Styela clava: one gene and its partner. Each later gene encodes a partner of the first gene's protein in a complex. Links are inferred from orthologs where the notes say so. Each region holds a gene or a part of one and is shown on either strand. Other genes may lie near its edges. The genes, in order: uncharacterized protein LOC120335522 and ADP-ribosylation factor-like protein 1.

Region 1 (17,649 bases):
GTTCCTTTTGATTTGTTATTCATATTCTGTGGTGTTATTATGGTTCTTAATATAATTTATTGCTTCAATGTTATCAGCAGTCTTCTAAACGTGTTATGGAAGCAATTTGTTTCTTATTCATTCATGAAATAATACTTTAAATACGTATAGATGGAATTCGTTATTAAACAAATTCAGAAATTGTGCAAAATTCATATGGGAAAAAGTTGTTCCAGTAATGAAGTTAGAGAATAATAGTTTGTGCCCTTTAACATTGAACGATCAAGGATACAGAATAAGTAATACTTAAATAAAAGTGGTTTCCATCTCACCTGCCTAAGTAGATACGAATCTGTTAAATGCAAAGAAGAATTGGACACTACTGTGAAATATTAGTTTAAACCAAATGGCTGCTCACTTTTACCTGTGTTATTAAGTTTTTTTAACCAATTGATACCCATTGTGTTTTTAGCCATGTAAGTAACAAGTAAATTTTATTCATATCTGAACATGACATCAAGTTCCGAGTCCTCACCTGATGATACACCTCGTCCATCAAAGTTTGAAGACTTTGATTTTTTCGATTCTGACAAAGATGTAGGAGATGAGAAAAAAGTATCTAATACATCAAAATGGAGCGCAAAAACAGTAAATTCTTCTGAAAGAAATCTGCATGATGAACTTCATGGCAGTGGCATGAAGAATGATCAACTTGGTATGGGTGACCTGCATAAAAGTTATGATTTATCTGAATCTGAACATAAAACAAGTAAAACTTATACTTCAAGTACAAAGGTACAGATCAAACAAATTTCTCAAACGACTACCAATTCTAAACGAAAACCTAAAGAACAGTTAACCGTCCATGTTCCAGTTCAAGCGTCAATGAATAAGTATAATTCCTCGTCGAGTGACGACGATTCCTCAGGTTCTGTGACAGATGTTTCTCCCTTGCCATCACCAGATATTACACCGAGACCACGTACAATTCCCCATGATGAAGAAAGTTCACCAAACAAAAGAAACAAAATGAAAAAAGAAACTAAAACGAAATTCACAATTAAAGAAAGTGGTATTGAAGATGGGGAACGTCCTCATGCTCGTCGCGCGAATGGAGAAACTTTATCTGTTGAAGATATTTTTTATTCTAGTGACGGCACCCCTTTAAGCAGTGGTGAAAGAGATACTCAAGCCATAAGAAGAAAACGAGTTCAGCGTAAAAAAAGGAGTCGCTATGAGGAAATTCAACAAAGGATGGAGGCGTCATCTCGTCATCATCGGAGGAGATTATTAGATGTCGCAGCAGAAAATTCTATGGATTTAAGTCAATTACTGGAAGTGGTTTTAGAGATGGAGCAAGAAGAGAAAGCCAGGAGGATGTATCAAAGCCACAAAGCATCTAAAAGTGTTTTACCTCCCCCTTTGAAACCATCTCATAGAAAAAACATGTCCTTCTCCAATCAACAAGTTCGTGATATCGACTATGAAAATCAAAGATTGCTTCAGCGTTTAGCCCAACTTAACACTCGACAACGGCCATCTAGTGCTTCTAGTGTGAGATCATCTGCATCTTCTTATAGAAGTAATGCAAGCACAAGTAGAAGCAACAGAAGACCAGCAACAGCAAGGAGGTGGGTATGAGAAACGATCCATATGATATGGATCTTTCATTGTAATTTAAAGTATTTGTATTAAGCCAACACTGCGGAATATATCTACTTTTTGGGGTTATAAAACTTGGGATGGGTGTATCACCTTAACTCATGCCATGTACTCGAAAGAAATTGGATAGTCACCGAATTTGAAAAATTTTGGTATTCCCTGATACCCTAAATTGCAGTAACCACCGCTATTGCAGGACCTTGCTTGAAGCAAGGTGTTGGAGCACTCCATGAAGAATAATACCGTCATTATGCATTTCCAATCAGAGATAACCAAAACTGAATATTTACTATGATGAATACACTGTAAAGTATCATAGTATTTCTGAATAATTTCACTAAAGAACTCATAGAAGTCCATGTAAATTAAACAGTGATTTGATTGGTTCACTTTTTTTTTAGTTTTCTAAAATTAAATGAGGGCAATTTTGGTCATAACTTTGAGATTTTGAATTTAATTATATTAGAATATTTCTGCGGTATCGATATCAGCATTTCTGAGAGTCCGATATATTACGAGTGTTTTAAATTGATCGAAAATCAATTCAATTGGCGCCCGAATTACGGTGATTTGATATAACATTGAAAGGCATCCTCAAATGTCTTTTTTAAAAAATCATTTGCTACTGATGCCTTGAATTATTATGAACTAAATATTGTATATAAAGCCTCGTAATCTGACAAATATTATTTTATATATTCATTTGCGGCAGTATAACTCTCTATTGAACGTTCTATTTGAGCAAGTTTGTATCAGCAAACTATCTTACGATTGGATAATTCAATATCTGTATGATTTTTTTTTTTTTATATAATTTTTTTTGCAATATGTACCTAATACAAATCATGCATTAACAGACCATCCCCGGCACAAGGACCAAGGGTATATCACTCAGCTACAAACAGGATTCGTGACCAACAAAGGATTGAAAGAGAGAACCTGACAATTCTGAAAAGACTGCAATCAACAAAAGCAACTGGCATTCTCAAAAGGGAAAATTTATTACGGGATTATGAGAGACAAACTGGTAGACCGGTTGAACCGGGACGACAGCGCAGAAGACCGAGATCTGGTCAAACAAGACAAGGGGATTATGAAAATGGGTCTATGCAATTTTCGCAAAGGAAGGCAAAACCAGTTTGGCAAGATTCTTGGTGAACATTAACTGTTAATCTTGTTGAATCGAGCTTTTAAATAGGTATATGTCTAGTAATATGGAAGTTCCCAATTTCTTACAAATCAAATTACTGGTGTTATCATCTCCCGTTTAATGATCATGATAGATATTATCATTTTGTATTTTTAACATGCTGTTTTTAAATGGCCTCGTAAACAAACCCTCTCCCAAATGTGAAAAATTTGCTAGAATCAGATTACCTGACAAGCATGTGGTGTACAGACAAGAGGATAATAATGTCATTCAAATATATTATGTATAATTTTAAATAAAGAGCATCTTTCACTTAGTTGATAATACCAATTCAAAATCATAGGCAGCGATAAGTTTTATCATTTTTTTTGTATAATCAATTGAAAAGTCTTTTTTATTCCAATATTAGAGTAGAATAATAAACTCTGTTTTCCATTTTTTCACATTTTAATTGCTTTCGCATTGCATTTTTGTTTCTTCCAACTTTTATTTCGGTAACATGCAACACCAAATTAAATGACAAGAAAATGGAATTTTCTATTCGATGGATTGATATGTGTTTGACAATAGTTAAAAGTGATCTATTTACCTAGCAAAATGTTTTTATACCAATGCACTATGACTATATGAATCTGAATATCTACAAAAATGCTACCGGAACAATATGAAAAATTCATGACTACATTTTTTCTATCCTTAATTTTACAAAATTCTATTCAGGCATTCCCCATTATACTGAGAGATATTTGGAGCTTTATAATGTTCATAATTTTGGCAGATTCATTGAAATTTTCGAAGCCACCACCAGATAAGGAGTTTACATCCCTGAGAGCTGTAAATAATTTTCTGCATGCACTGTGTAATGGAGCAAAAGTAATATATTTTATTTGTTATAGTGATCTTCATAAACTAGTTGTTTAAATAAAACAAAATCACAGATTGTGAATAGTGGTTATCTCTTCTGCAAAGGAATTAGAATGGTATGATAATTGCTAAGGTTACGACTTCTTCTTCATTTATAAACAGGCTTGTAGTGCGTTAGAGGTAGCCTCGTCATGACGTTTTTGCTGGTATTTCACTGCAAACTGTTTTCTTAAATGTTTTCTTAAAGAAGTATATGCCAAGTCCACGGGTCTCGGTATCCTGAATCTCCTTGTTACATATTCACAGGCAACTAAATAGTACAATTGTTGAGATTATATTTATTAGTAGTTCAACATGTATGATAAAATAGGCACAATGTATTGTTAAAAAGGTGGCATATTGTTAAAGGAAAACTGCATTCATCACTCTATAAAACCAGACAGTAACTACTGACAAGAAAGAACAATAACACAATTTGACGGGAAATTCTATCATTCATTAGTATTCAACACGTTCAGTATCCATATGAAGTCTCAGACGAATTTGAAAGTCAAATTGATATCGTTGACCTTGCATATATTGATTTTTTTTAAATTGGTACATTACATGCGGTGCTTCAAAATGGCCACTGCTACCTGTGACAGGTAAATGTTGCTACATATACCATTGAATCTGTGTGCAAAATAATTCATAATATTTTGTTTGTGCTAGATATGCCTTTGTTAATTTGGAAAATGAATATAAATATTCAAGCCAAATTGACATAATGGGTGTAGGAGTGATGCCACTAAACCCCAGTCAGAATCCAGAAGCATAATATTCAATATAATCTACAAACAAGTTTTATTTATAAACATTAATTCCACCAGAAACTTACAGAAAAGCTTTTATCTAGCGATCTAACATAATGCCAGTAACCAGGAGGTATATAAAGCATCTGGCCAGGCAGTAAAATACATTCTTCCCTATGATTACGATCCATTTCAGTAAAAAGTGGAAAATTTGTATCATCTGGCTTTTCAACATCAACTTTTGATGTGTTGTTTAACATTCCCTCATGGGGGTAGAGAGCATTCTCATGTGAAGGATGATATAACCGTACATATTTACGTCCCGCAACTTGACATAACAGATTGTGTTTTTTGTCATAATGACATGGTGAAACAGTGCCACCAGGTCCAAACCAAGCATTTATTTCGGTATCAGTATCAGGGTCCCAATCTGGCATTTTTGAAATACAGCAATAATCTGGAATACATATGTCATTTCTAAGCAGTGGGATTTGATCAAAAAGTGTATGTTGTGCTAAATACGCTTTTGATGTACAATCATCATTAAATATATATTTTTGAATGAAATTTGAAATAGTCATTAATTTTTGACCCCAACTTTCATCAGTGTATTTAGCACCAAGTTCTACAGGTACAAGTCGGTGTCCTGCAATATTGTTAAGATACTGAAAATTCCATTTAGCCATAGCAGGCCAATGATCAATGCAATCGCTAAGCACCATGGGAAGAGCATGGTTCATAAAATCTTGGAAAGAAATTAAAGATGGATTTGATAAGACTTTTATTGGATTATGTACTTCTGGATCTAGTTCATAATTTTCAGTGTTTTGGGTCTCAATATATTTCGGTTGGGCAGGTTTAAAAATTTTAATAATTTTGTGTAATATACCATTCATTACATTATGGCCCATTAGCAAGCCCATGTCAGAGACTCTACAAATTTCTATCAAATCGTCATCTGTTGTGGCATTATAGCCCAAACACGAAGCTTTGAAGACACAAGCAAATGAATATAGTTTTTGCCACACAAGCGGGACATTTTTCCAATGAAAAGAATTCAACTTTTCCCATGTTAAGTCTAGTATCATTTCTGCATTGTCAAGACATTTTTCAATATTGTTTTCATATAATAATGTGCAACATTCTTTTAAAATGAATAATGAGACATTGTCAATCTTATTGCAACATACATGGAGACATTGTACTATTGTATGCTCCATTTCTGAGTCTGTGCTAGGTAATGTTTGCTTAAGTTCAGATTTGCGAGTAGTAAAATGTAGTATTGCTTTCGGAGATTCAAGGTTAATACTCTTTTCTGAGGTCAAGAGTTGGTCCACCATCTTCATAATTCCCTGTGATCTCAGCGTTACTGAAATCGAATCCTGGATTTTCGAGTTCAAATCTTTCGAGAGTCAAATTTTTTTGCATTTGATCTTTCGTTAAAGGGTCTACAGCAAATTCTCCACCCTCAAATAATGATGGCCAAAAACAATTTTCTTTCTTGCGACTGCGTTTCACAAGCAATATTCGGATTAATTTTTGATCTTCCACACTCCAAGTTGATTCGTCCACCAATATTCCTTGCGGTAGGGGGCTGTTAAATAATTCCTTCCCCCTCACAACGCAAGATAAATGCTGGGGTTCAATCACCACATTTACTTCTTTCCCCCTTGTCCCTTTCTCAACATCAACAACAACAACCACGTCCTGCACAGTTTGATACCAATTACCCCAGGGAGTCTTGCAACATGCAACACCGCTTCTTTCGTCGAAATCGCTATTCATTTCAAAATGTAACTCCAAGTAAACGGAAAATTCTACGAGAATAAACCGCTCAACTAGTAGCAATCGCAACCATGTAACAAATGCTTTTCACCGAATAGGCTATGATGAACTTATGCTAAAATCATGGTTAATTAACCATGCTAAAATCAATCCTCCACACAAGAGTTCCAGTGGTGGATAAGATTCTATGCGGAACGTCACCAATCTTCCGTAATTAGTGGGCAAGAATTTCCATTTTTCTAAATGTATTTTACAATCTGAGATTTCATTTTTCTTGTATTAACAATTGTGTAAATATATTTTTTGGCTACTACACGTTTTCTTGGATTGCATGATGTAACTACGGTATTTATTTCCGCTCAATCAATGACTATTACATGCTACTGAAAATTTGCATCGTAATTTCACTGCGACGTGTTAATGTTATCGTCATCTTGAATGTGTTATAAGTTAGATCTAGGCTATATGATATCTCGTTTTCTCTGTTTTACTGAAATTGTTTTCGATTTATATTTAGTCTACTGGGTACCGGTAAGCTGGCAAGGGCGACAGGTTCGCCATATGGTTAAGCCGTCTTATCGACTTTCCTCTTCCCGGGATAAATATGCAAATCTGCTCAGTTCAGCAGTTGGATGGCATTTTAGATTCATATGATAGGCGCTCCATAGTTATGTAATGTACGGTAACTATATAATATAAGTAGGCCTACTGTTGTCATGAATCTCATAATTTACTGTGATAAATATTTTTTCAACGTGCAATAGTGAAATAGATGGACAGATTTGACAATTTTTGATACTCCAAACTCCAAAGTTTACTCTTTGTGCAGTCAATAATTTATTGCTAGAATAGAAATGGTTTCTGGATTATCGTAATTTAGTTCTGTAGTTTTGTTCCATCTTTGTCAAAAGTTCGTTAATAGGCTAATTCATATCTGCTTTAATTTATATATGTCTATTCCTGTACTGTTGTAGAAATATTTTTGTATAGAGTTGCAATGCAGTTCTAATTAGTTCTCATTTAAATCCTTGTCCGAATTTATGTTTATATCTCATAAAAGCGCCATGTGTACTCTTCTTTTTCTTCAATCAAATTAACTTAATAAATAAATTATATTACTGTTGTATCGTTACCTCCCAGTCATACTGTGAACTTTTGTTCCACTTATTTTGTTATTGAAATTTTTTATATTATGTGTTTTGTTTGACGAAATAATAAATTCTCTCTTTTTTTATCACTGACTTATACTCCTGTGCTTACTCATCTGTAATTATTTACAGACTTTTTGATCCACAGACGTTTCGCCCCCTCAGACCATTCCAATCACTAGATGGCATATGGCGATTTGAGTTATGACTTTGACATGGCAGTTTTTTTAAATTATATTAAATAAACACTCAAATATTTTAAGATTTAAGTGATTAAGGATATTTATCCACCACATTAGTGCCATATATGGGCAACCTGTGGCTTCTGTACAACCTTAACCCTGTAACCCCCTACCCATGCCCAAATTTCCTATGAATCCACATGTATTTTTAGGCAACTCCAATGCCAATGTATTATTAACAAAAAGATTAACTCAAACTGTCTTATTTGGCAGAAAAGTCTGTTGGGTGAAAAGTCTGTTTATCCCCTCACATATAATCACCTCCCATGGGATTTGAACCTGTTCAGGGTAATCAGAGATGCGATGGCTTACCATGATGCACCGACTGCCGAGCTGATTCTATTTTAATCCTAGTGGATAGGCAGATTTTGCATATGTTAACTATTGCATCGGGAAATCCTCAAGTCCTACAATTAATTACAACTGATTTCCCAAATTAATATTTGCAGATAATTTGGTTGTAATCATGTTTAAAAACTTGAAACAGAAAGTATCTACTGATCAAAAAGTTCGAACTCCACAGTCTGCCAATCGGGGTGATGCTTCAAGCACACCCACTGGTCGTACTGGAACATCTAGATTGCCACGACCATCCAATTCAGCGCCACCCAGGCGATCCAATTCTGAGAGTTTGAATGGTGCCAATGGTGCAGCTACTAAACAAAATAATGAATCCATGGAATCACCAGATATTGTACAACAGGTGGGAAATATATCAGGTGATGTTTCTCCCAATCCTTCAAATCATGGAGAAACGGATCAAGCACAAAAAAGTGCTCAGATAGCTACTGAAGCTGAGAAAAAAGTTCCATTTTTCAAGAGACTAGAATTTTTGACTCCTCTTAAAGATCAAGTTGCAAATAAACTTTCGGAAAGTAAGGAATCAATCAGTTCTCTCGTTGACGAAGTTCGTGGCAATGTAACAGGTTCTTCCAATGAACGATCTAAACCGGATATTGTTGCACAAACTAACGATCGTCGGCGAAGTGATTCCATTTCAGATACAGAAGAAATATCAATGAATCGGAATGCTATTGATGTAAGTGCAATTCCCAAAGAACAACTATTTGCAAAAGTAATGAGACTGGAGAAAACTCTTCTTAAATATAGAGAAAGATATGCAGAACTTGCTTCTAATTTTCGTGAGGCGAAACAAGAAAGAGAAAAGTTGCAATCAGTTATGCAACAGACCCAAGATAAAAATCTACGCAGAATTCAGGAACTCAAAGAAGCCGCAGCGTTGGATTTGAAAGCCAAAATGCATCTCGAAGAGGAGTTTCGAGTTTCTCTGGAAGAAAAAGATCAAATGATACAAGTGCTTCATACTCAAGTTGCAATTCTTAAAGATGATCCGCAGAAGTCTCCACCACCAGTACAAACTGAAACTGCTCAAGGCCAGGGAGATGATTCAAAGCTTCAAAAAAGGGTCAAAACCTTAGAAGAACAACTCAAATTTGCTAAAGATACTTGTGAAGGTCTAAGAAGCCAAGGTGATGCTTTACAAGAACAACTTAGTGAGCGATTAGAAGAATTAGAAAACCTGAAAGATTCGAACGTTGCGGAAAAGTCGAAACTTATCAAACAATTGCGTGAAGCAAAAAACGTTATTGAGAAAATTGAAGAGGACAAAGTCACTGCTGTTGCAGAGGCCAAACGACAAATGCATGAGATTCTTGAAGGTAAAGATATCGAAGTAGAATCCTTACATCAACAAGTCAAGAAACTGCAAATTGATCTTGATGAATTTAAAATGAAGAAAGAGCAACGGGAAAATTCTTTGTTGGAGGAACTTCAAAAGGCAGTTACTATTGGTAGAACAGCAGAAGCTCAAAGAGCTGATGCTTTATTGAAAACTGAAACTATACAGAAAGAAATGGAAGGCAGAATTACAAAGATTGAAGAAGAATTTGATGCGGAAAGAAAAACTTATGTTTCTGAGGTTTCACATGCAAAAGCTGATAATCTTGATATTAATGAGAAACTTGAAAATGTAATGAAAAAACACAAAAGTGATTTAGAGGCTCATACAAAAATGCATGAAGTTGCATTGCAAGAACAAGCAAAGAAATATAAACTGGAATTGGATGAAAAAGAGAATCAAATGAGATTAGCAATTGAGGAGAGAGAGCTGAATAAAATGGCTGCAGTCTCACAACAAGACACTGAAGCTCAGAATTTGTTGAAACAACTAGATACAGAGTTGGAGAATGTTCGTCAAAAAGTGGAAGAGCTTGAAAAGGCAAGAGTGGATGAGGCCAACAAACATGAAGAGGAAATTACCATTCTAAAAGACAATTTTCAAAAGGCGAGTGAAGAACATAAATTCGAACTTGACAGCCTTAAAAAATATCATGATGATCATATGACTTCGAAGGCTCAAGAGTTTTTAGAAAAATTCACAAATCAAAAGAAAAAGTTTGAAAACAAACTTCAAACAAAAGAATTGACATGGACTGAAAAGTTAGCAGAAGCTGAGAAATCATACTTACAAGAAGTTGACGATTTGAAAACACAAGTAAATGAACAAGGTAAAGAGAGGAACGAACTTTTTCAGCAACAAGCAGAGAAGGTTTCCCAACTCGAAAAAGAAGTCACTCTGTTGAATTGTGATAGGGAAGCCTTAAGTATCAAATTTTCGCAAATAGAATCTAAACTTTTTGAAAGAGATACACAATTGAAGGATTCTTTAAACGAATTAGAAGAAATCAAAAACAGTGCAACTAAAGAAAAAGAAGATTTGAATTCGAATATTGAAGCAAAAGATAACATAATTAAAGAACTAAACAGTAAAATGGAAAACTTGCAGCAGGACTTTTCACAGAAAGAACAAGAAAGCTTACAGCAGAATGAAGTTTCTCATGGAGAACTTGAAACGTTGCAGGAAAATCTGAAAAATTTACAATCTCAGAAACAGGAACTTGAACAAGCTTGCAATGCTGCTGAAGAGAAATTGAAACAAAGAGAACAGACAATGAAAAAACATGTCTTGGATATGGAGGAAAGCCATAAATCTGCAATCGGTGATTTATCATCACAGTTAGATAAAGAAAAACAGGAATCTGTGGTGAAAATTGCTACTTTAGAAAAAGAGAAATTGGATCTTCAGAAATTACAAGAAGAAACAAATAAGAAATTTCTTGAAGCTGGTGGAAGATTAAAAGCACTTGCCCAAAAATTTAAAGCCACTGTTAAAGAAAACCAGACGACTGTGACAGAGAAAGAATCTATGATTGAGAAGTCTAAAACGGAATTAAATGAAATCAAAATAAAATTAGAACAACTGGAAGGACAAAATAGAAAAATGGTTGAAAATCATGAAATGCGATTGAAAACAATGGAGTCTGAATGGGAAAACAAACTGAAAAATGAATTAGAAGGCTTGAAGGAGAAATCTGAAAAAGAATATGATGCGTTAAAAGAATCAATGATAAACACTCACAATCAAGATTTAGAATCATTGAGGAATAGTTTGAACAATGCTTTTGATGAGAACAAAAGTCATTTAGTGGAAGAATTAACGAACAAATTCAATACTGAAAAGCAAGAATTATTAACTGAACAGAGGAAGAAACTTGACACTGAAATGAGGAATTTAGAGATGAGGCTGCAAAGCGAAACATCTGATGCCACTGACAAAGAAAAATCTCTTCTACAGTCCCTTCAAGAATGCCATGAAAAAATTACTGATCTCGAAAACGAGCAATCACAAAAATGTAAAGAACTTTCTGAAGCCCATGAGAATTTGGCATGTCTCCAAGCAGATTATAAAACAAGTACTGAAAAGTTTCAGAGTAATGAGATTGAAGTAACGAATCTAAAACAGAAAGTAGATGCTGCTGAAGCTGAGCTTTCCCAATTTAGAAAGTTAAACTCTGATAAAGAATCTCAAGTTGAACAATTGATGAAGGATCTTGATATATCTAATGATAACTTAACTCAGTTACAAAGTGAAATAAAAAATCTTCAACAGCAATTAGAAGACAAATCTAATGAAGAAAAGAAAGTTGCTACTGAATTGGATGCCAAGATTTCAGAATTTAATAAACTGACGGAAAATTTCAGTGCTCAGTCTATTCAGTTAAAAGAAGTTCATGCCAAAATTTCAGAAAATGACAAGTTTTTAGAAAGCTTAAAATCAGAAAATAAAGTACATTCAGGTAAATTTGAAGCTCTGACGAAAGAGCATGCTGCTGCTTTGGAAAAGCAGAATAGTGATTGGCAAACAAAATATACTGAATTGAAATCTAAAGCCGAACAAAAAATAGCACAACAACACTCTCATCTCAAAAATGCCAAAGCTGAATTAACATCACAGCTAGAAACAATCCACAAACTTGGTGAGGAAAAGGCCTCTGCTGAAAAAAATATTCAACACCTTACTGACAGTGCAAAGCTTGTACAAGAAAATTTAACCCTTTTGGAACAAAAGCTTCAAGAGACTGAAAGTAAACTTATTGAACAGCAAAAATTTTCTGAGAAAGTTAAAAAGGATGCAGAAATTGCAGAACATTCGAAAAAAGACATTGTGGATGATTTGCAACTACAAATAAAAAACATTATGGAATCTTCTAAAAAACAAAGTCGAAATTATGATGAAATGATCAAGAAATTGGAAGAGGATGTAAATGAAAAGAATGAAAAAATTATGGAATTTGAAAAAGAAATTGAAAGTTTGAATTTGAAGCTTTCGGATGTCAATTCTTCATTTGATGGTTCACAAGTTCAGTTGAAGGAGAGAGATTCAACAATTTCTGATTTAAATGAAAAGCTGGAAAACATGAAATTAGAAATTGAAACTAAAACTGAAGACCTTGAAAACTGGAAAAAAGAAAAATTGGAAAACGATTCTTCAATGAAACTAACGCAAGCGGAAAACAACGAAATGGCAAAATCTTTAGAAAAAGTCAAAAAAGAACTTGCAGAAAAGGATGCCATTGTTGTTGAGAAAACAATACACTTGGAAAAAGAATCTAAAGAACAACTAGAAGCTCAAACTACGAAATTAAACCAAGAACATCAAAAGAAAATGGCAGATTTGAAAAAGAAAGCTGAAGTTAGACTCGCTCAAATTAAAAATACTTTTACTTCCCAATTAGAAGAAAAACTGAAATTAATTTCTCAGTTAGAAGATGACAAGAGTTCTTTGGAAGAGCAAATGGTGCAAGCCTTAGAAGAAGCTAATAAAACCAAAGAAACTGCTATTACTGAGAACAAAACATTGTTGACTGAATTTGAAAGCTTGAAAAACCAATTTGAACAATTACAAAGTGAAAAACAAGAAATGCTTTCGGCATGGGAAAAAGAAAAATTGGAAATTGAAGCTAGAATCAAAGAGGAATCTGATAAAAATATTGTCAATATGATGGAGGAAGAAAAATTAAAGTACGAGGATGAACAAGCTCAACTTGCCGAAGTGAAAGATCGACTTGAACAAGTACTTCAAGAGGCAAAGCTAAAATTGCAAGAAACAGAAAAGAAAATGGATGAAGAAAAAGATCGATCGGAAATGGCACTACAGGAAGAAAAAGAAAGGAGATTGCAGAGTGAAACACAATTGTTGGTAGCAAAAGAAGATTTTGCAAACGAAATAGAGAATTTGAAAAATAAACAAAACTTATCAGATGCTAAAATTCTTTCCCTTGAAGAAAGTTTAAAGAATATGCAAGAGACTATTGACAGCACGGAAAGAGAAAATTTGAATATGATATCAGCTCTTGAAGCCCAATTAGATGCTGCTAGAAAAAGAAGTGAAAAGTTGGAGAATGATAGAGAAACTGTAAAGCAAAATTTAAATGATACAATTGAAGATTATGAGAGGAAAATGCAGTCATTACGAGATGAAATCAGTTCATCGCAAAAACAAATGGAGGTTTTGTCTAAAACTTCAGTTGAAGATAAAGATGTGGAAGTTGAAAGAAAATTAGGAAACTTAAAAGAGGATTTTGAAAGAAGGTTGCGAGAGAAAGATGAAGAAACAACAAAGAAGATCAAGAAAATGATGACTGAATATGAAACGCAAATTCAGAAAAATAACGAGAGTTTCGACTCAAAACTTGAAAAAATGAAGAAAAAAAATTTATCATTTGAAGATTCAGTGCGATCTGATCATCACAAGGAACTAGTTTTTCTGCAAAGAGAAATTCAAGGAAAAGAAGAGAAAATGGAAGAAGTTGTCGAAAAGTACGAGTCAGAAATGCATGAAATGGAAAAAAATATGTCCGAACAAGTTGATAAAGCCATGTATCGTGCTATGACTGCTGAAAAAAAATTACAAAGTGCAGACATGGAGCAAGAAAATGAAAATTTGAAAAAACAACTAGCGGAAGTGAATAAAATTCTTGCTGATACGCAACAGAGGGAACGCGAAAATGAAATGATGCTTCAGTCGTTCCAAGCGAGAGTGTCACTTGCCACACCTCTCGCCGATCCAGATAAACTTGAATATCTAAGGAGGATTTTGTATGAATATATTATGGGAAATGAATGTGGGACTATGGCAAAAGTTTTAATACTTCTACTGCAATTTAATGAACTTGAATCACAACAAATTCTCGAAAAACATGGCTTAGCACAGAAATAACGCTATAGATTGGGGTACAAGACTTTAAGAATTTTCGTGAATGTGTCTCACTGTTTTTATCATATAATATATATACCGTACATCATATATGTTTTTTTTTTTGATACATTCAGGTATGGACCACCAACTATTTTATCACAAAATTTATTTACTTTGTGAAATAAATCGCATTCATTGAACAAAATTGTCTTTGCTAAAATATGTGTTTATAAATTGAAAGCAAGTCTATAATATTATTCGAAAATTCTAAAACTGATTATATCTCTCATTAGTTTTATAGTTTAATGAAACATGTTTCAATTCTATTCTGCGATATACCTATACGGTGCTATTTAGGTTGCTTGGTAGAAAGTATTGTTTTGGTACATCTACCATATTGTTTGGTATATTGCATTTTCACACTTGTGCTCATGTTATTCTTTTCATACCTGAATTTGGATTTCTTGTTATATTGATTTGTTATTCCATAAGCATTATTAATATGTGTGATGTTCATGTCCCATGATATTTCATTTGCTAAGTGCAATATTCGGAAATTATAAGCACAGTTGGTTGCTTTTATTTTAGATTTAAAGCAATTTTCAATGATTCATTCTTGTAGCAAGTTACGGTAGCTTTGGAGATGCTAGCCTAATTTATTATTCTTATTTTGAGTCTTTATAACAGGGGTCATTCATTTTGATGTTTCAAACAAAGACGCTTTGGGAATATATTTATATGCCAGCTGGGGTTTCGATTTTCTTGTATTTCTAAAGATGCATAAATTGGAATTGTTTTACTGTGTGAAAATTATGAATATGTTTGAGTACTATTCAAATATTGCTCCTAATTTCTGTTTAGTTAAGAATTTCTCATGAATTTGAGAACCGGTTTTTTTCTATATAAAAAAAAATTAATCATATTTTAAAAGATACTGTTTCCACATGCCTTAACTTAAACCTATTTTTAAGTGGCTTTGTAACTCGTCTATAGATGCTATATAAAGGGTGCTTTAAAAAACAGAACCCAGATCGTTTGCAACTTGCTCTAGAGCAGTGGTTTTCAAACTCTTTGAGGCCGCGCCCCCTTTTCAGAATTTGTCAAGTCTCGTGCCCCATCTCAAAAATATAACTAGCTAAGAAGGCTACAAATAACAAATAGTAAGGCAAAATTTTATTCGAAAAACATGTTGAAAATACATAGATGGAACGTAAATAGTTGAATAAATGGAAAGTTTTAAAAAACAAATAAGGCGCGCAAGATCAAATCTATCAATTATTTTTAATTAGCTTCACGCCCCCTCGAAAAATTGTTTACCTCCCCCTTGTGGGGCGCGCCTCACCACTTGAGAACCACTGTTCTACAGAGAACATAACTTTGTGCAAAGCATCTTAGAGTGTTCAAGAAATTTATGAGTTGTTTTGTACTCATTGTATTTTCGTCAAAAATGCAGTATTGCCCAATCCCTTGGCATAGTCTTCATTACTGAGAAAATGTGCAAATTTAGTTGAAAATTTCACTGGAAATTCCCTAATTTGACATATTGTTGGATTTTATCTTTGGTATTGTAAAATATTTATAACATAGCATTGATCAATAGAAATACACAAGATTATACTCTTGTGTTTTATTCAAGTGGGATTAAAACAGATAATGTTTCAATACGTTTTGAAGCCACTTCACAGGTTTTTACAACCACACGCTTGTTTTGTTATTATCTGAGTATTTAAACAAATGCTTCATGTTATATTATATACCGTATCTAATATACAGGGTTTTCATAAAGTCTGAAAAATTTTGAAATTTAATAGGGAATTCATCAATACCATATATAGTTTGTATTGGTAAAAAACTCAAACCCTGATTAAAATCAAACAAACCTTGTTAAGATATATTCCATAACAAAATTGTAATTGGACTTTATGAACACCCTATATATTCAAACAAGATTTCCAATTGCCAGTAAAACGGAAAACTTATCCTTGTCCTACTTCTATTCCCATGCACAGCCAGAACTGGTAAACTGACGAGAAGGACATGAATTCAACCGTACTTTTGTGCCAATCCGTCCATTAAATTTTATAAATTTACCATTGCCTTTTTTAGTAATAGTGCTTTAGTGTATTCGCGTTTCGTTAATATATCAGTTTTTGTTGGTCTGCTCATTATAGATCGTGAATTCAGAAAAAATTTTAATCAATTGTAATTAAAACCTTATTCAATACTGCATTGCTGAAAGTGTGATTTTTCATGAAATTTATTTTTCATATCTTTAAAAAAGTTGTGTTGTATAGTTTTTTCATGCACAGCTTACTGAATTTATTGCACGTTTGAGGAAAGTGTTGGAAGTGAGACTTGAACCTGGTATCTCTAACCTGTATCGCCAACTTGGTTATGTCTGTAATTCCAATATAGTAGGCCATCAGTGTTTGTGCAATTTCACGCTATATATTTGTTTTATCATTTTATCAACATACATATTGTATAAATTGTACATAAATAATTTTTCCATATATGTTATGTTGTAGTACCATCCGTACTACTAACATCTGGAAATATAGTTTATATTCAAGACTTCTGCTTTATAATTTGAATTTTTTTTAAACCTTGAATGTCACGTTAGATCATGTTACTATTTTTCGTACTGTCTGTTGAATATATTTAGTAGCTAGAGATTTCAAATTTTTTCTAGTATATACCCAATAGTTTGAATGTTAGCTATTCTAAATGCAAGTTTTATAGATTGGTCCAGAGATTCCCAAACTTTTCAAACTTCATACATTTACTTTCTATATTACATGTTTTTCTATATGACATGTTGGAAGTAATATTTGACATTTCAATTTTGACGAGGAGGATTTTCATAATATATGCACATTGAATCAATGCGATATATGGGGTTGTTTTTGTACATATAAACAATCGCAAGTTTAGGAAATTTTTTAGAAAATGATTTTATATTTCGACTCACACTCAAAATTATGTCACACTACTGTGTGACACACAGTTTGGGAACCACTGGCATAATCCAAGCAGTTGGTTATGTATTTAGTAAACACATTCATTTTCTGTTTTCATTTTCTGTCTATATTCTTTGCATATATTTGAGATTTGCATTGTTTGGAATTTTCAATCTAAATTTTGAATTTAGCATTTGTCCTCTAGTATAATATCTGTCATCTCTATCTTTTGCTGTACTGAAATTTCATTTCAAATCATGATCTAACGATTATGTGCTGGTGTTGCTAATTCATGCAAATGATATATGGTTTATCATTGGCTTTTCTTTGATTGGATATTGTTTCATAGATGTTATATATTCAATTTATTTTAAATCATACATCCTTATGTGCCTTGTTATTATATTTACAGCCTTACATTTGCAAGATGTTATATAATTTCATAAATATTAACTAGATATGGCTTGCAGTTTAAAACAAACTTGTGTTATTGAGGATGTTACATCTGT
Region 2 (15,804 bases), on another chromosome or scaffold:
ACGTAATAAATCCATCAAAATATCGCTTAATCATATTATATGAATCAGCTCATTTCTTGAGTTAGTGTGTGTTCGTCTTATTTGATCTATCTGTAGCGTTTCAGTTCAATCCGTCTTTATTTAGTTTCAGCATTTTATACATTTACATCACATAATGCCGGTTGAAAATTTAGAAGAAGAAGGTCTGAAAAAGATTCCAGACTTGGAAGTCGCGCAGTTGAAGTTCTTATTAACGTCGGACGATGAGGAAATCCAGCAAACAAAAATTAAAAAACAATTTATGGAAGCGATCGAAGCAAATGGCAAGTTTTAGAAGTTATTTTGCTAAAATTAGGATGAATTCCTCAAATTGGTTTTTAAGAAGAATTGGTGTTTCTATCTGAATATTATTGCATTTTATTACAGTATTATTGTTCTCAAACTCATGAAAACTCATTTATGATTTTATTTAAGATTTGTTTTAAGTTTGAGAAAACATGACGATTATACAGTTTAAGATTGATTGAATAATATATGAACAATGTGTTCATGAGTCGTGACAAGTTTGTATTATTAATGTTTGTATTGTATCAATGACCATTATTTAATCGAAATTCATTCTTTTCAAACTTGACGTTGGCCGACTTTAACTTCTTGTTTACTATGGTGCCAACCTAAATGTAGAATTACCTCCTATTCTGAAATAACAGTTTATACAGACCCATCTTTTCCAACCAACCAATAATCATCAATATGCTTGAATGATAATAAATTAATATGCCACAAGATGTGTAATTTAGACGTTTTCTTTTTTACAGAGATGGCACCCTATTATGAAATTGTTTGCAAAGAACTTGGAATGAAAATTAACAATACACTTTTAAAGAAATTGAAGGATACAAATGAGAAGACATTAAAAAAACTTGAAGATAAAATAACAGAAACTGAAGAAATGGAATATGAAAGTGAAGTCAGAGATGCTTTACTTGCAAAGGCTGAATATTTGTGCAAAATTGGTAACAAGGTAACAACAATTCCCTAGAATGTTTATTCATAACAGTCGACTGGGGCTGTGGATTTTGGGATCATTTTTGCCCGACTCAATTGAAAAACAAATCAGACTCTCGATTCCGAGTTGAAGAAAGTTTAAATTTTGATTATAATAACTTTGTCACATGCAAGCCTTCCTTGTCAACTTTATTCATTTTGATTATATGTTTGAAATCTGCAATCCAGATTCTGAAATATTCAATTGGATTCCGGATTCCGGGGGGTTTGAAAATGCGACTCCAATGTCAATAAAAACATGCAAAGTCAGGACTCTCACTTCCAATTAAGGTTTAGAAATGAGCTGTTCATCAATTCAATATAGCTTCTAAATGTTCTAATATTAGTCTACAATTTCATGATTTTCAACAATATGTAATAGCACAGTAAAGACATGCTCGTAAAAATTAGTCTTAATTACATATATTTATGCCTTTCCTCAAATAACTTTCAGGATGACGCTCTCGAAGTTTTCCAGAAAGCATATGATAAGACCATTGCACTTGGACACAAGCTTGACATCATTTTCTACAGAATTCGACTGGGATTGTTTTTTATGGATCATGATCTGATTACCAAGAGCATAGAGAAGGCAAAAATGTATGAAATATATTTGTTGTGCATTTTAGTTTAGAATTAAGCCCTTTGTGGCATGCACTATTTGTCCTTAGGTGATATATAATTTGGATTTTCTCTCGAAACAAAGCCATGTACAAGTAGCAAGTATCTAGCGATTCTGCCTTCATTTTTTACATCCTGGATTGGTAGACAGTGTGACCAGGGTACAGATGTCAACATTTTCACACCACGATACATCAATTTATTTCTGTTTATGATAAGTGTTTGTGATAACGATTGTTAACGATCTATACCAACTTTTATTGTTTTTCAGTTTAATAGAGGAAGGTGGTGATTGGGATCGGCGAAACAGACTAAAAGTTTATGAAGGTTTGTATTGTATTGCGATTCGAGATTTCAAGAAATCAGCAAATTTGTTTCTGGATACTGTATCAACATTCACATCCTATGAACTTATGGATTACAAATGCTTTGTCACATATGCTGTTTACATCAGTATGCTTGCTCTTGATAGAACCGAGTTAAGAGAAAAAGTGAGTTCTATTTAATGCACAACTTTACTACATTTTTTTACTACACAATTCAGTGATGATTTATCATTATGCGAAACTTAACTACAATTTACTTCAGTACATATTAACAACATATATTGATAACTCAATTCAAGCCTATAGTTAGGACATTGGGCCAAGTGTTGATAAGAGTAATTACTAGCAATTGAACCATCGTTTACCCTATTTTTGCAGGTTATAATCATATAACTGAACTAACTTTTCAAACATCAATTCAGGTTGTAAAAGGTTCAGAAATCTTGGAAGTTTTGCATAGCAATAAGGAATGCAGAAGTTACCTGTTCTCATTGTATGATTGTCATTATGCAGAGTTTTTCCAGCGTCTAGGTATGACTTAGAACGTGGAAAATTTGAATTCTTAATAATTGTTTTTCATTGGGTAATATAATACTCTGTGTGATGTGATTTTGGAATAAGGATGTAAATGTCTTAAATTCATTTCATATTATCTTTTTATTAAAGAAGTGAAATTTATTTATTTTTGAATATTACAGCTCAAGTTGAGGTGGAAATGAAGAGAGATAGATTGCTGAATCCTCATTATAGATACTACACTCGTGAGATGAGAATACTTGCTTATACACAACTCCTTGAATCATATCGTAGTCTTACATTAGAATATATGGCTGAAGCATTTGGAGTTACTGTTGAATTCATTGATAGGTATGTTTACCTGAATCATTATATTAGCTATGGGGTGAACTTTGTACCATCAATGGGAAGCTACCAGATGTGGATATTGTTATTACTTTGCATACGAGAAAAATTTCTTCTTGATCTTCCATTTAGAAATTGGAATGTCGCTAACTAAGGGCTTAAGTACTTGAAAATTTTCAATCCTTGTCTGTCTGAATTGAGTCTTGGACTCTGCTTTTGATTCGAATACGAGCAACAGAAATGTGGACAATTTGCATTGCCTGATGAGTAAATGAATATCACTATCAATCGAGTATATCAGTTTAGTATGAATTGTATTCGGCATCTGAACTGCTAACTCCCATTCACGCAATTCACTTGTCCTTCCAAAAGAATATCTACATCTATATAGTCTCACGAGCCCTCTGATACTTTGCTCAGAGATCGGCGTCCTCTGTTTCCGAGTGAGTGTGACCTTGATACGATCAACCTAATTCTTGCAAATAAAAAAAAAATCTCATCTCGTTTACACAGGGAGTTGTCAAGATTCATAGCTGTTGGGAGACTGCATTGCAAAATTGATAAGGTCGGTGGGATCGTTGAGACCAACAGACCTGATAGCAAGAACTGGCAATATCAGGAGACAATAAAGAAAGGAGACTTGCTGCTAAACAGAGTTCAAAAACTATCAAGAGTCATCAATATCTAATTATACTCTTTATTTCGTATGATAGAAACAATTCTTGTGTCCATAATGTACCATGTTGTATATATAAAATTTCAAACAAATGTGCAGTGGTGGTAAAAATACACATTCTGTGAGTGGCAAATTCAGTGGAGATAATAAGAGAGCTATGCGGTAGCAGGCTAAAACAAGCCAATCCCTTAGATGAAAAAATGACGAGCCACCATTTACAATAAATACCAAACGGGTTCCTTAGAAATATAGTAAAAACAGCCAAAGCAAGTGTATGAACATTGTGAAACTAATATTGGATATTATACCCATAAGATTTTCAAAACAGATAAAATGTGGTTTTCTAGTATGTGACGAGAATAGAATACAGCAACAAATTTTAATGTGTAATGTGAACATAGCATGTGTTTGGCCTTATTTTTACAACCAATTAGCACATTCTATTGTTCACAGCCATGAATGAATTTAAATGAACTCTTACGCACGAGTAAGCAATGGTCTAAGTATGTCATACAACATGGACGTGAATCCTTCACTAAACAGGCTTTCCACCTCGTTTATTTCGGACAGTTCATGAACATGGAAGCCCTCAAATGGTACAAGGTCGTCTTCATAAGAATCTCTTAATAAAATAGTCATGAGCCGTTCTTTACAAGCATGACCAGCTGAATCAATATCAACTTTTTGAGTTCGCATCTTTTTTAAATATTCTTTAATATCATTCTTGTTACCGTACAAGATTATAAAAATGAGATGCTTGTAAAATAAAACAACACCCTGGACTTGTAATCGAGTTGCCCATTTTTGTAACGTTTTTAGATAATTGTTTTTTGAGCGCATATGATCAAGCTGTATCACACAAATTTCCTTCGTTTTATTCTTAGCAAGACTTCCTTCATCTCCGCAACCCTGAAGTCTATTCGAATTTACACCAGAAGCAAATTTTGCCACGTTATCTTTAATCCACAATATAAGGTCTAATAACATTTGACTGTTCAAAAGATTATTCTCTGTCGCAAACTTGGACATCTCGCTGTTCAGTCCAGAGGAAGATTCTCTTGTCAGCATTGGTGAATCAATTGTCACATGTGGCACAACTTCTGGATATTTGTGAGATATATAAAAAGTAATTCTGAGTTGTTGACAATTCTCCTCCGCGTGTGTCAAATTGAGTTTAAACGATTTAGATAAAGAGCTTTCCAGATCATTAGCTTCAAACTCTCCTTGCTGACAATAAATAGACTTCACGGCTTCAATTTCATCCAGAATGGACATAGTGGTATCGTAAAAATTTAAGATAGACTATTCACAAACAAATATATAATACAAATACATATATACAATACATCAGACTAAATATAAACAAATTCCAGGATCAAAAATGAAAATACATGACTATGCTAGCGAATTAACCAATTTCTTAAATTTTAGTCTGTTTTTTGGAATATTTCCATAACACAAATCATTTAAAAAAAGCTAGGCTAATTATGAGTGGCAATTTCATCATAATGGTTATTGATAGAATGTTTGGTTTTAAGAAAGCGCGGACCATGCATGAAGTTCAGTGAGGTTTATTTCCTGGAGAGCGTACAAACTATTGCTGTCTCTTTTCAGCTTGTATATTGGTCCGACTGTTGCGGATTGTGATCTAACTAGCACAGCATTAATTCATTAGCTTTTTATATAAGCTATTATATTGAAGAAAATTATATTAAATAGATATTCCTAATTTGATTGAAGTGTAGACACAAGCCATTCCATTGCTGTGTCTAGTCCAATATTTTTCAATGCGGATGTTTTGAAAATTTGCCATTTCCTATCTCTCAGTTTAGAAAGTCCGAGCTCTTGTGCAATCTCTGCTGGTGACATAGCTTGTTCACAGTCTTGTTTATTGGCAAATACTAACAGCAGTGATTTTTTCAATTCTTCTTCTTCCAGCATACTTATTAATTCTTGTTTTGATATGCCGATTCGTTCTCGATCAACGCTATCCACAACATATATTATAGCATCTGTGTTGCTGTAATAACATCTCCAATAGGGACGAATGCTGGTCTGACCGCCCAAATCCCAGACTTGAAATTTGAGATTCTTGTAAACAACTGTTTCTACATTGAAACCTATTGTAGGAATTGTTGTGACTACTTCTCCAACTTGTAACCTATATAGAATTGTAGTTTTCCCAGCACCATCCAAACCCAGGATAAGAATTCGACGCTCCTTTTGTCCAAACAGTGATGAAAATAATGAAGCAAACAGATTCCCCATGATATAATTGACTGTTTAATAAATTCCTTTATGACGCATATATATATATATATATTGAATTTATCTATGTAAAATGAATTCAAGGATTAAATATTATATTGATGTGCTCTCTTAATAAAATAAGTTGCCGATAGATACATGAATGCTCAAACATATGGAAACAATGGTATGAAATGGTGAAGTCCGAGAGCCCTCAACTTGATGAAACGATCGACAGGCGGTCCAGCAATACTGGATACAAAGTGTTCCCGTTTTATTAAAAAGAATCCAAAATTGGTATTCGAAACTTTAAACAGTTTAGATTATAAATACAAAAATACCCTTCCTAAATGCTGATATGATTACCTTCATATTTGTGTTATACCAGTGGTACCTAAAAATTGTACTTTCAGTGTTGTTAAAACTTAAAGCAACATTACCACAACGAAAAGCTAGAATCTGACAAAGGGTAACCAAGTAGGTCAGGGATGTCTGGTGGAAATTACTACAGTACTAGCGTGAATTTGCCACATGACTGTATCTGTATGAAAGGACTTAAACTGAATCTATGTCGTATCCAAGAAATTGCAGGCGTTTGTAACTTCAGAACTATAGACTATAACTGCAAGTATCATAACTAACGTTACAGTACTGAATACGAAATACTGAAAAACTGTAACCTCGGAACGTCTCAGTCAGCTGCAACGCAAGCAGAAACAGAAACCGTGGTGAAATTGCTTCAGTGTCGGTTAATCGAGCGTAACACAAGCCTTCCACGTCATGAGTACAGTTACGACAAATCCGTTTGCCAGTTGGCAAAGCGGCCTGCAGAATTCGGTAACAGGAAATAACCTTAATTAATATAATGGATTTTGCTGCTGGACGTAAAGATAGTACCGGTAACTAAATAGTAAACGTCAGCTTTCAACCGAATATAAGACATTTACATCATAAAACTCATATACTTATACTCAATTCACTGTCAGACCAGAGACAATGCATGTAAAATCTATGGTTAGACGTTGTCATCCATAGCATCGAATATGGCCCACGAAGATGATGGAGCCGCAAGTTGCACTGATAATGTGAAAACAAGCTCTTTAGTTTTGTTTCCAGCTTTTATTTGCAATTGCCGACAATAACTTCACACTTATTTTTCACTCGTGAGATAAAAGATCGCACTATCGTCTGCTTGAAAGGACTAGAGAATGCTACGCGCTGTATGTTTCGGTATTTGTATCGGGTAATATCAACATGAGCAAAGCCCATCCACCGGAATTAAAAAAAGTTTATGGATAAAAATTTGGATTCAAAGTTAAATGGTGGACGATCTGTTACGGATATATTGCTAGGTTTCGATCCTTTTATGAATCTAGTTGTGGATGATGGAACAGAGCGCAGAAAAGATGGGACCACTGCACCTGTTGGAATGGTGGTCGTTCGTGGAAATTCGATATCAATGTTGGAAGCATTGGAACGGATACAATGATTTTATATTGAACTATTCGAAAACGACAAGAGAACCCGATACACCAATCCATGATTTGTGCATAGACTGCTATGGAACATTCAATCTATTTACCGAGCTTGTTTTTTTTAGTACAATTTTTTGTCACTGTGTCATTTTTTTTGCAATGAAATTGAACTAGGCCTACAGCATCACCATTTTACGTCAGCGAGTGTTTTTAATTCCATAGTTTTGTAGGAAGAGCACTGTTGTGTTACACATACACGTTTCACATTTCAAATTTAATCTAAGAGTATTGCCCGATTTTATATCGTGTTTTTGTTTTATTGTGTTTTGACTGTTTTTGGTGGACGGGCACGTACTTGTACGTTTTTAACTTTTTTAATAAGTTATGCTCGTCCTCCAGGTCCTCTGTATTTTGTTTGTCCGTTTGTTGTTGGTTTGTGTTTTGTTTCTATCAGAGTGACCAAATAAAATTGATTGATTGACTATGTGTAAACAAAAGCAAGGGGATATCTGGTGAAAACTGCTGAAAATAACGACCCGTTAAATATTTTGCAAGCCCTGATAATTACAAACTATAGAGTCGTTTGTTGTATATTATCTCAGGGCTTCTCAAACTAGGGGCCGCGGCCCTGGAAGAGGCCGCGAAACGAATTCTAGGGGCCGCAAGGAGAACACCAATTTTACAAAGTACTAAATCTTTTGCACTTTTTCAGACTCTTGATTCAAAATACAGTTATTAAAAATAGTGTAAAACAATAATTTCGCGATTTCGAGTTAAGACATCTTCATACCATGTTTCCCCGAAAATAGGAAATTGTCTCCAATTTTCTTTCTATCGACTAAGACAGGGGTGGGCAACCGCTGGCCTTCGGCACGCGATCCCATTTATTCGACACGCGAGCGAGGCCTCGGAAAGGGGATAATTCTTCTTCAGATAAATAGTTTCAAGACGATGAATTATTTGATGAAACTAGGTGTTCATTTATTCATTCATCTTCTTCAGATAAATAGTTTCAAGACTCCGAATTATTTGATAAAACTAGGTGTTCATTTATTCATCATCGGTTGTCAACAATCCGTTATTCATTTGAACTCTTTTTGCCCTTTCATGAAATATGGCTACAAAGAAATAAATTATGACATAACAAATGAGAGAGCTTTCGCGAAATTTTGTCGAGAACGAGAAGAGCGCAGCGTTCATTTGGATACATTCTTACTATAACGGCTCAGCACCATACGATGGCGATGTGCTCGTTAGGGTGATTGGAATAAATAGATCGTACAGGCACTTTATATTTGATGACGCGGTTCTGTCTGAGTTCCTTTCAAAGTTCGAAACGATTGTCCAAAGATGTTTATTGTTGAGTCAAAATAGTAGTCAAATAATGATGAAATAGTTGTCAAACAGTAATCCGGTAAAATACAGTGCTATTACACAGGAGGGACCAATAATAACTATACGAAACAGGGAAATAGAATTATATGATGTAAATTTAACCTACGCCTAATTAATAATACCAAAAGCCCCCCGATTGATTAAGATACAAATTTATACGTCCTACCTCCAAGCGGCTCACGCCGAAAGAGATCCCGCCAACACCAAAATGGTCGGGGTTCAATGCCCTAAGTTACAGTTGCCAGTTTAGTTACAATAATAGCGGTCACCGTTTAGAATCATGGCTGCTACACTTACGTAATATAGTTTGTATGTACCACCCTTTTTCGTCCTTTCTGTTTGATTTATGAAGTTGTACAGCACATGTTGGTTATAGTTACTTGGTCACTTACTGTTATAAATTGATTTCAAGAGAAATATTGGCGATTAGGGAAGGGAATAGAATAGAGAAGTGCAAAAAACGAACTTGTGTGACTGGGATTTTTTCGTGTCTGAAAAACTTTGCAACTGCAATACTCCATGTTTTCATCTACATATGCTTGTGAATCTCTGTTCTTAGTTATGAACTTTATCAAGTCTCGTAACAGTTCGTGTATTTCTTTGAAAGTTAATAATTTTAACCCAATGTAAAATTTCTATCAGCGGTAATGCAGCAGCAGAAGTCTCACTGATATAGAATAAGAAAAGTAAACAAGTCTATTTGTCGGAATGGTATTTTCCCGAGTAGTCAATCGGTCTGTATATGTTTAAAAGGTGAATTAATGTGTATTTTTGCTTTGAAAGTAGCGAAGCATTGTTTTTAATTTTGGTCGGCACGCGGAAGAATTTTGTCGTTAAATTCAGCCGATTTTGGCACGCGAGCCGAAAAAGGTTGCCCACCCCTGAACTAGGACTTAGTGGTTCTCGAACTTCATTGTATTGTGACGCCCTCCAAAAATATGCTCAAGTTGCGACTTCCGCTGCCAAGGTTTAGAAATGAACTTGTCGAACATCGTGTGTCTTGACTGAAAAGCGATCCTACAATAACTTTTGCAGTATACGAAGGTTTTCTTTATCGCTGCATGAGTATAGTATGATAAATTTTATTCGCAACGATATAGCAGTTGCATCAGAATGTCCAATTTTTCCAATATATACTGAAGTTTGAGCGGTCATGTAACATTTATGGTTTGGGAATAGATAATACATTGATACTAGACATTTTTTGTGAAATTTTCAACACTTATATACGGCTAAAAAATAAGGGAGGTTTTGGATCTGAATTGTATGATTTGAATAAAACTTAAATAAATGATGAAACATTTACTCCGGGTACACTTACATAATCGAATTAACAAATTAAATCGGACATGAAAAATACAAATTTTTGCGACGATTTTTAAGAATTCGTCGAAATAACCGATCTTATGGGCAGCGGCGTTTTTTTGGATGTGTGCGTGCAGTTATCTATATATTCAGTACTCGTTCGTTTTTTTCGCAAGACGTTATTACCGATCAATCGATTGCGAGCTATTTTGACGATTTTAGTCGATCGCGGTCGAAAACAGGTTGGACACCCGACCGCCCATGAACTATAAACCAACAAACAAAATCTAACAACAGTCAGTGAAATCAAACGTAATGAGCCATGGTAGAGAATCCTGCTTACATAAATGCGAAATTGCAAAGGGGATAGTTTGCGAAACGCGTTTTTGAACCAAGGAAAAATCATATTTATCTACAGAAAACCGAATTTTCAGAATTGAACTTATTTATTATAACACATTTAAGAAACGTTTCGACGCCCTAACAGAATTCAAACTAAATGCAGGCTACTTAATATCTTATTTCAAATGCATGAACGTGAAATTTAGCTTTTATTCATTTCATATTTATTTATTCACACATTTCCAGAGCGAAGATTACAAAGGGGTTATAGTCCGGCAGAATCGGGCCTTAACATTGTTTTGGGACATGATATTTTTTTTATTGTTTGGATAAATATATATTTATGATATTTAAATTAAATATAGATATATATATATATATGTCGATGACATAAATAATGATACCCAGGTGGGTGTGGAGTATATAATGTTGAGCAATTTTTTCTAAGTGGATTTTAAGTATTCGTACCAAGATGATGCACATCCTGAAACCTAACCTGGACACGTACAATGTTCAGTTTGTGCGCCATCCTGGTACGAATACTTCGGGAGCACCTTTTTGTTAAAAACAATTATTTCATTACTACATGGGTTAGTTTTGAATATATAATAACATTGAATCTTCTTACAATGTCAGAAATTTTAGTAGAATAAATGGTAGTTTATTTCACTAATATAAGCCAAGATCCATCGCCAGCATCTAGCCACTTTCTTTTGCGCTCTTCAAACTACATTTGTGTTGCCGCGGGCATTTCGTTTTCCTGCTTAAAGCTTAGGGACGTGGAAAATATTTTATTAGTTGAAATGAATTGGAATTATCGACCACGTCTTTCACTCCGAACAAGGCCATGTAAAACCGTTAACTGGTATCTAACGATAGGTAACGTGTTTTCTTTTGGAAGAACCGGAATCTTTCAGGTGCAGCATTGACTTTGGCCAAATTAATATATCCTTGTGGAGATAGAAGGTATGCGTATGCAAAACCGAGATGTGCACCTGTTATGCCAACATAATTGTTGATCACTATAGTAGATCACACACATTTCCTGCGTGCTTCGGTTGTATGTAGTAACGCGCACATTTTTGCGAACATGCATCAAATTCCACTTGTTTATTGAGCTATAGGTTTTTGACGAGCCTTTGTGTATGATTTTATTCCATATAATTTGTATGCTGTTCTAAAAAATACTAGTTTCAGTTTTTTCATTCATTCAAACCGCGTGTTGGAAGAAAGTTTGGTATTATTGCGTGTTGGTTTTCAACTGGTTTGTTTATATCTATCATTTGACATCCTTAAATCGGTGAAGCCAGTAAATCTTTAATACAAAAAGATCAGTATTATCTACAATAAAAACAGCAGTACCCACTCAAATGACAGCTGGGGGATGGATACTCATATTATCTGCTCCATCGCGTGCCTCTTACCAGTTTACATGGGTGCTAAGTGGTATCTAAGCTCAGCCAGAGACAAAAAGTTTCGGACTGCGGTTGGCGTGACGAAACGTTTTTGAATATATATTCTAAAATAAGATTATTTGATTGCATATTACTGAAAGTTACGCCTTATATGTCTTTTCCCATTGCACTATTCCTTTACTGATATTCGATAATATGACGCTCATCTGACATAGTTTTTGTGTAGTAATGTGTAGATAGGTTTAATCTTTTTCACGCTTTTCAGATGGGAATGCACGAATATATCTAAAAATCGCTAATATTGGTTTGCAATGCAATGAAATCCCATTCTGGCATTTCTGCCTCTCGCAATTGCTGCGTATATTTATCGGAGAAGTTCTGTGGTGTGGTTATTAAAGGAATAAAACAAAAGAAAGGGAGTATTTTTCTACTTCTCTACTACTCTCAAACCTTAACATTTTGTGAACAATTTTTTCCCTTTACCTTTCTTTAAAACATCCCTAACAACTACAATTAATTTTCTCATCAAACTTCCGAAACGAACACATAAAATCATCAACAGATGCATATCGTCAAGTCCTAATAAGTAGATTGCTAAATTGATCTTTATTTTACCATTTTTCATGTAATGCTTTTTGGTAAACCTGTTATCTATCGTATATACAGCACATTTGAATATGTTGTAGTGTAACTTTTTTGGCCTCACATTTTTAATATATATTTGTAGTTAGATCTCTTGCATGGGGCTCTGTCAAACAAAGTTACATACAAAATATTGGCTGTAAGAAACATGATCATTTTGTTGGAATACCTTGGCATTTTACCACCCGTATATCATTCGTTGTCGAGAATATCAATGAAATCATAAAATCTAAAACCCGTTTTTGTGAATTTTTTGTTGTAGCTGAATTCGAGGGACAGCATGACAACAGGCAAGAGAAGCACGGTCGACTCTTTTAGTTTATAGGGTTTCCTAAAAGGGGATCCCGGCCTCCTTGGAGGCCACTGATCGGTTGTCTAGGAGCACGGAAAAACAGATAAAAATGCGAATATATAATAACAATGTATTTTTATAGAAGAGAAGAATCAAAAGTGTTGAGAGTCTTTGGTAGTTTGAAAAGCATTGGCATGGAACAAAAGAATACATTCTTTCTCAGGGATATACTATAAAATGTAGCAATTTTCTCATTTTTGTTCTCGTGATTGCATTACCTTTTAATGCATCGTTGTGATCATCCCGCTGCATAACAATCCTTGCTAGCAAATAATTGACTGTTCTCCGCCGGGTGTATATCCACTTGAACCACTGCCGACTGCATTAGCGGGCTTGTATTGTTAATTGCAACATGCTTTGAAATAGTACTCTTTATTTTACGCGTATGTTTCAACAGTATTTCCATATATATGGGTGCGACTCAAAGCTGAGTTCAAAAAATACCTAAAAGTTATTGATTTTCATTTTCTGGTACATTTGTTGCTTCCGTAGTTTGTGCACCAAGATGGCGCACAAACTGTATTGCAACAGGTTAGGGTTCAGGTTGTGCGCCATTATGGTGCACCGATTTAACGAAAAACACTAATACAAATATGCAAACTCATGTAGAAATGATGGGCAATGACCCCAAGATGAATAATCACAAATAAAAAAAAACTTTATGTCTGGAAACAAGGTTGCACCCAAAAAGGCCCCTTATCTGCCGGACTATAATTACTTTTGAATTTAAAGACCAAAATTATTTCAAATTCACTATTCTAGAACTGAAAATGCATTGCAAAGCTTGGTTATGTGGAGAGTAAACATTTAAAGAAATATATTTGCTTTCACCTGAGATCAACAAACATATTCTAGTATGGAGAAACTATCACTCAATATGCTAACCTTACTTGCTGTGTCATTTTAATGCATTGCTTTTGCGCTGCGAACTCGTGTGCAGTCACGATGGCACAAACTAAAATTGTAAGAAAAGGATGGGTGACAAAAGAATTGGAAATCGAAGGAAAAACGGTTTTAATCACCGGTGCTAACACGGGCATCGGGTTCAGTACAGCACTTAATCTTGCAAAACGTAAAGCAAAAGTTATAATTGCTTGCAGAAATTTAGAAAAAGCAGAATCAGCCAGGCAAAAAGTGAGTCTTGCTTTGTTTGTTTTAATTTCCAATCATGCTTCTCTTTGGTATTTTGACTATCCTACGCTGTTTGTGAGAATTTTATTTTTCCCGCCTTATATTGGTGACGTTTGCCGACGAGATTCACAAAGCCACACACTAGGACTAAAACAACCAATAATATATATATATATATATATCACGAAATGTAAGCCCGATAAACTAAATGCAGGCTAATTTTAAGTTTTCAATACCTTTGTAGCGGTTTTTACATGTATATACATGTCCATCCACAAAACGCTGTTTTGCCAACAAAGTGACATATATACGAGTATGTGGTTACAAAAACCATAATTCTTGGAAAATATTGTGATATATACTGACAAGCTTTTCAAGCTTGAATCAAAATAGATAAGTTCAGTTTTATAGCACCCTAGGTAAAGATAAATTAGAAAATTATAACTGTTGGTGCTTTGTTTGATAGATTATAGAAGAAACGGGGTCGCACAATGTATTCATAAAACATCTGAATCTGGCATCGTTCGATTCCATTAGGAAATTCTCTGCGGATATAAATGCAACCGAAGAACGACTTGACATATTAATAAATAACGCAGGTACGTGCATCGCGATAATGTAGTCTTGATATTCACCCCTCTACTCATAGGCTAATTTTCATATGTCAATAAATTTAAAGGTCTTCTATTGTCGACATATGAAGAAACTGAAGACGGATTTGAAATGCATTTTGGAGTCAACCATCTGGGATCTTTTCTGCTCACAAATTTACTTTTGGAATTATTGAAAGTAGGCTGATGTATTTCTAATTTATTATAATTTGATAAACTATTTAAATCTTTCACATAAGCAATATTGCAAGCGGATAGCATGACACTTCACAAGTTTGGTAAACAGCAAAGTGGCTCGTTGAAGACCTAATTAGGTAAAACTTTCATGTAATTAGTTCATTGAACAAGGCTCCAATAAAGGCTTATAATCAAACAAGAAGGCGGACTCAGCATCTCAACTCTAAACCTTATACGTTTACTCAATAATATTCAAGCTTCTTCATCGTTCCGCACCATATAGCATGGAATAATGTATAACTCGTTAAGCCTTTATTAAAGAATAGCAAAAAGTCCATAATGATTCAAATGATATGTGACCGTTGTTTTTAAAATTGCGCTAGCAAATTTTGAAGGAACGAACTTAATCATTAAAATCATTTTCAGAAAAGTTCTCCAAGTCGAATCGTCAACGTTTCCTCCGTCGGTCACAAATACGCAACAATTGACTGGGAAGATCCAAACGGAAAAAATAATTTTAGCCCGGAAGCATATGGTCGAAGCAAACTAATGAATATCTTGTTTTCAAGAGAACTCAGCAAACGACTTGATGGTGAGAAGTAATTTTCTATAATTTGTGCATGTCAAAAGTATAATTTTGTACGTCTTTATCTATATATTATGTAATTTTGAGTCATGATAATAGTATATATAATATTGAATTCAAATAACACTTCTTCAGTCGAGGCCCTTCGTATAAAAATTACCATTCTTGCGACAGACCTCATGTTCACCAAGACTCGCATCAGCCTGCGAACATCCAAATATTCTATTCTACTGACGACGACTTTATTTCTGATAGGTACTGGCGTAACTTCGAATAGTTTACATCCTGGTGCTGTGAAAACTGAAATTGCACGTGATCTCAGTTGGAGCAAAGTGTCAGGATGTCTGGGATGCCTTACTGTATGTGCATTTAAAACATTTTCTGGGCTTATGATTAGCCCAGATAAAGGAGCACAGACTTCTATTTACTGCGCGATTGCTCCAGAACTAGAGGGGGTTACAGGAAAATATTTCAGGTTAGTTATACTGTTATAAGAAAAATAAAGTACGATTATAAATGTTTTTCTGGTATACCCAAATCAAGTCATATAATTACTGCATCAGATTAGATATTGATTTGGATTTATATCCGCCATTATAAAGCAAATGAAACCAGA

The links.
Region 2: the proteins of uncharacterized protein LOC120335522 (region 1) and ADP-ribosylation factor-like protein 1 are in contact, whole or in part, in a crystal structure (PDB 1UPT), measured with the Homo sapiens proteins. The link is inferred for Styela clava from reciprocal best matches to the Homo sapiens genes GOLGA4 and ARL1. Residues at the interface, in NP_002069.2 of Homo sapiens: Thr2173, Glu2174, Glu2176, Tyr2177, Lys2180, Val2181, Glu2184, Glu2190, Thr2193, Lys2196, Val2197, Thr2200, Val2201; in NP_001168.1 of Homo sapiens: Ile49, Gly50, Phe51, Gln64, Trp66, Ser73, Ile74, Pro76, Tyr77, Cys80, Tyr81, Ser83, Glu115.

Annotation. Positions count from the first base shown.
Region 1 is NC_135251.1:16,298,279-16,315,927, forward strand, and holds uncharacterized protein LOC120335522, read left to right. Parts: upstream 1-8,038; 5' UTR 8,039-8,087; coding exon 8,088-14,201; 3' UTR 14,202-15,079; downstream 15,080-17,649. Other genes in the region: uncharacterized protein LOC120335523, read left to right, coding at 490-1,610, 2,499-2,799; bifunctional peptidase and arginyl-hydroxylase JMJD5-like, read right to left, coding at 4,512-5,786; nudC domain-containing protein 2-like, read right to left, coding at 5,749-6,231; rab3 GTPase-activating protein non-catalytic subunit-like, read left to right, coding at 17,600-17,649. UniProt on the Homo sapiens protein: Involved in vesicular trafficking at the Golgi apparatus level. May play a role in delivery of transport vesicles containing GPI-linked proteins from the trans-Golgi network through its interaction with MACF1. Involved in endosome-to-Golgi trafficking.
Region 2 is NC_135258.1:11,551,747-11,567,550, forward strand, and holds ADP-ribosylation factor-like protein 1, read right to left. Parts: upstream 5,852-15,804; 5' UTR 5,779-5,851; coding exon 5,236-5,778; downstream 1-5,235. Other genes in the region: 26S proteasome non-ATPase regulatory subunit 6-like, read left to right, coding at 155-302, 798-1,003, 1,481-1,626, 1,919-2,138, 2,396-2,504, 2,672-2,840, 3,348-3,522; RWD domain-containing protein 3-like, read right to left, coding at 3,988-4,785; retinol dehydrogenase 12-like, read left to right, coding at 13,629-13,817, 14,281-14,413, 14,494-14,603, 15,029-15,194, 15,444-15,663. UniProt on the Homo sapiens protein: GTP-binding protein that recruits several effectors, such as golgins, arfaptins and Arf-GEFs to the trans-Golgi network, and modulates their functions at the Golgi complex.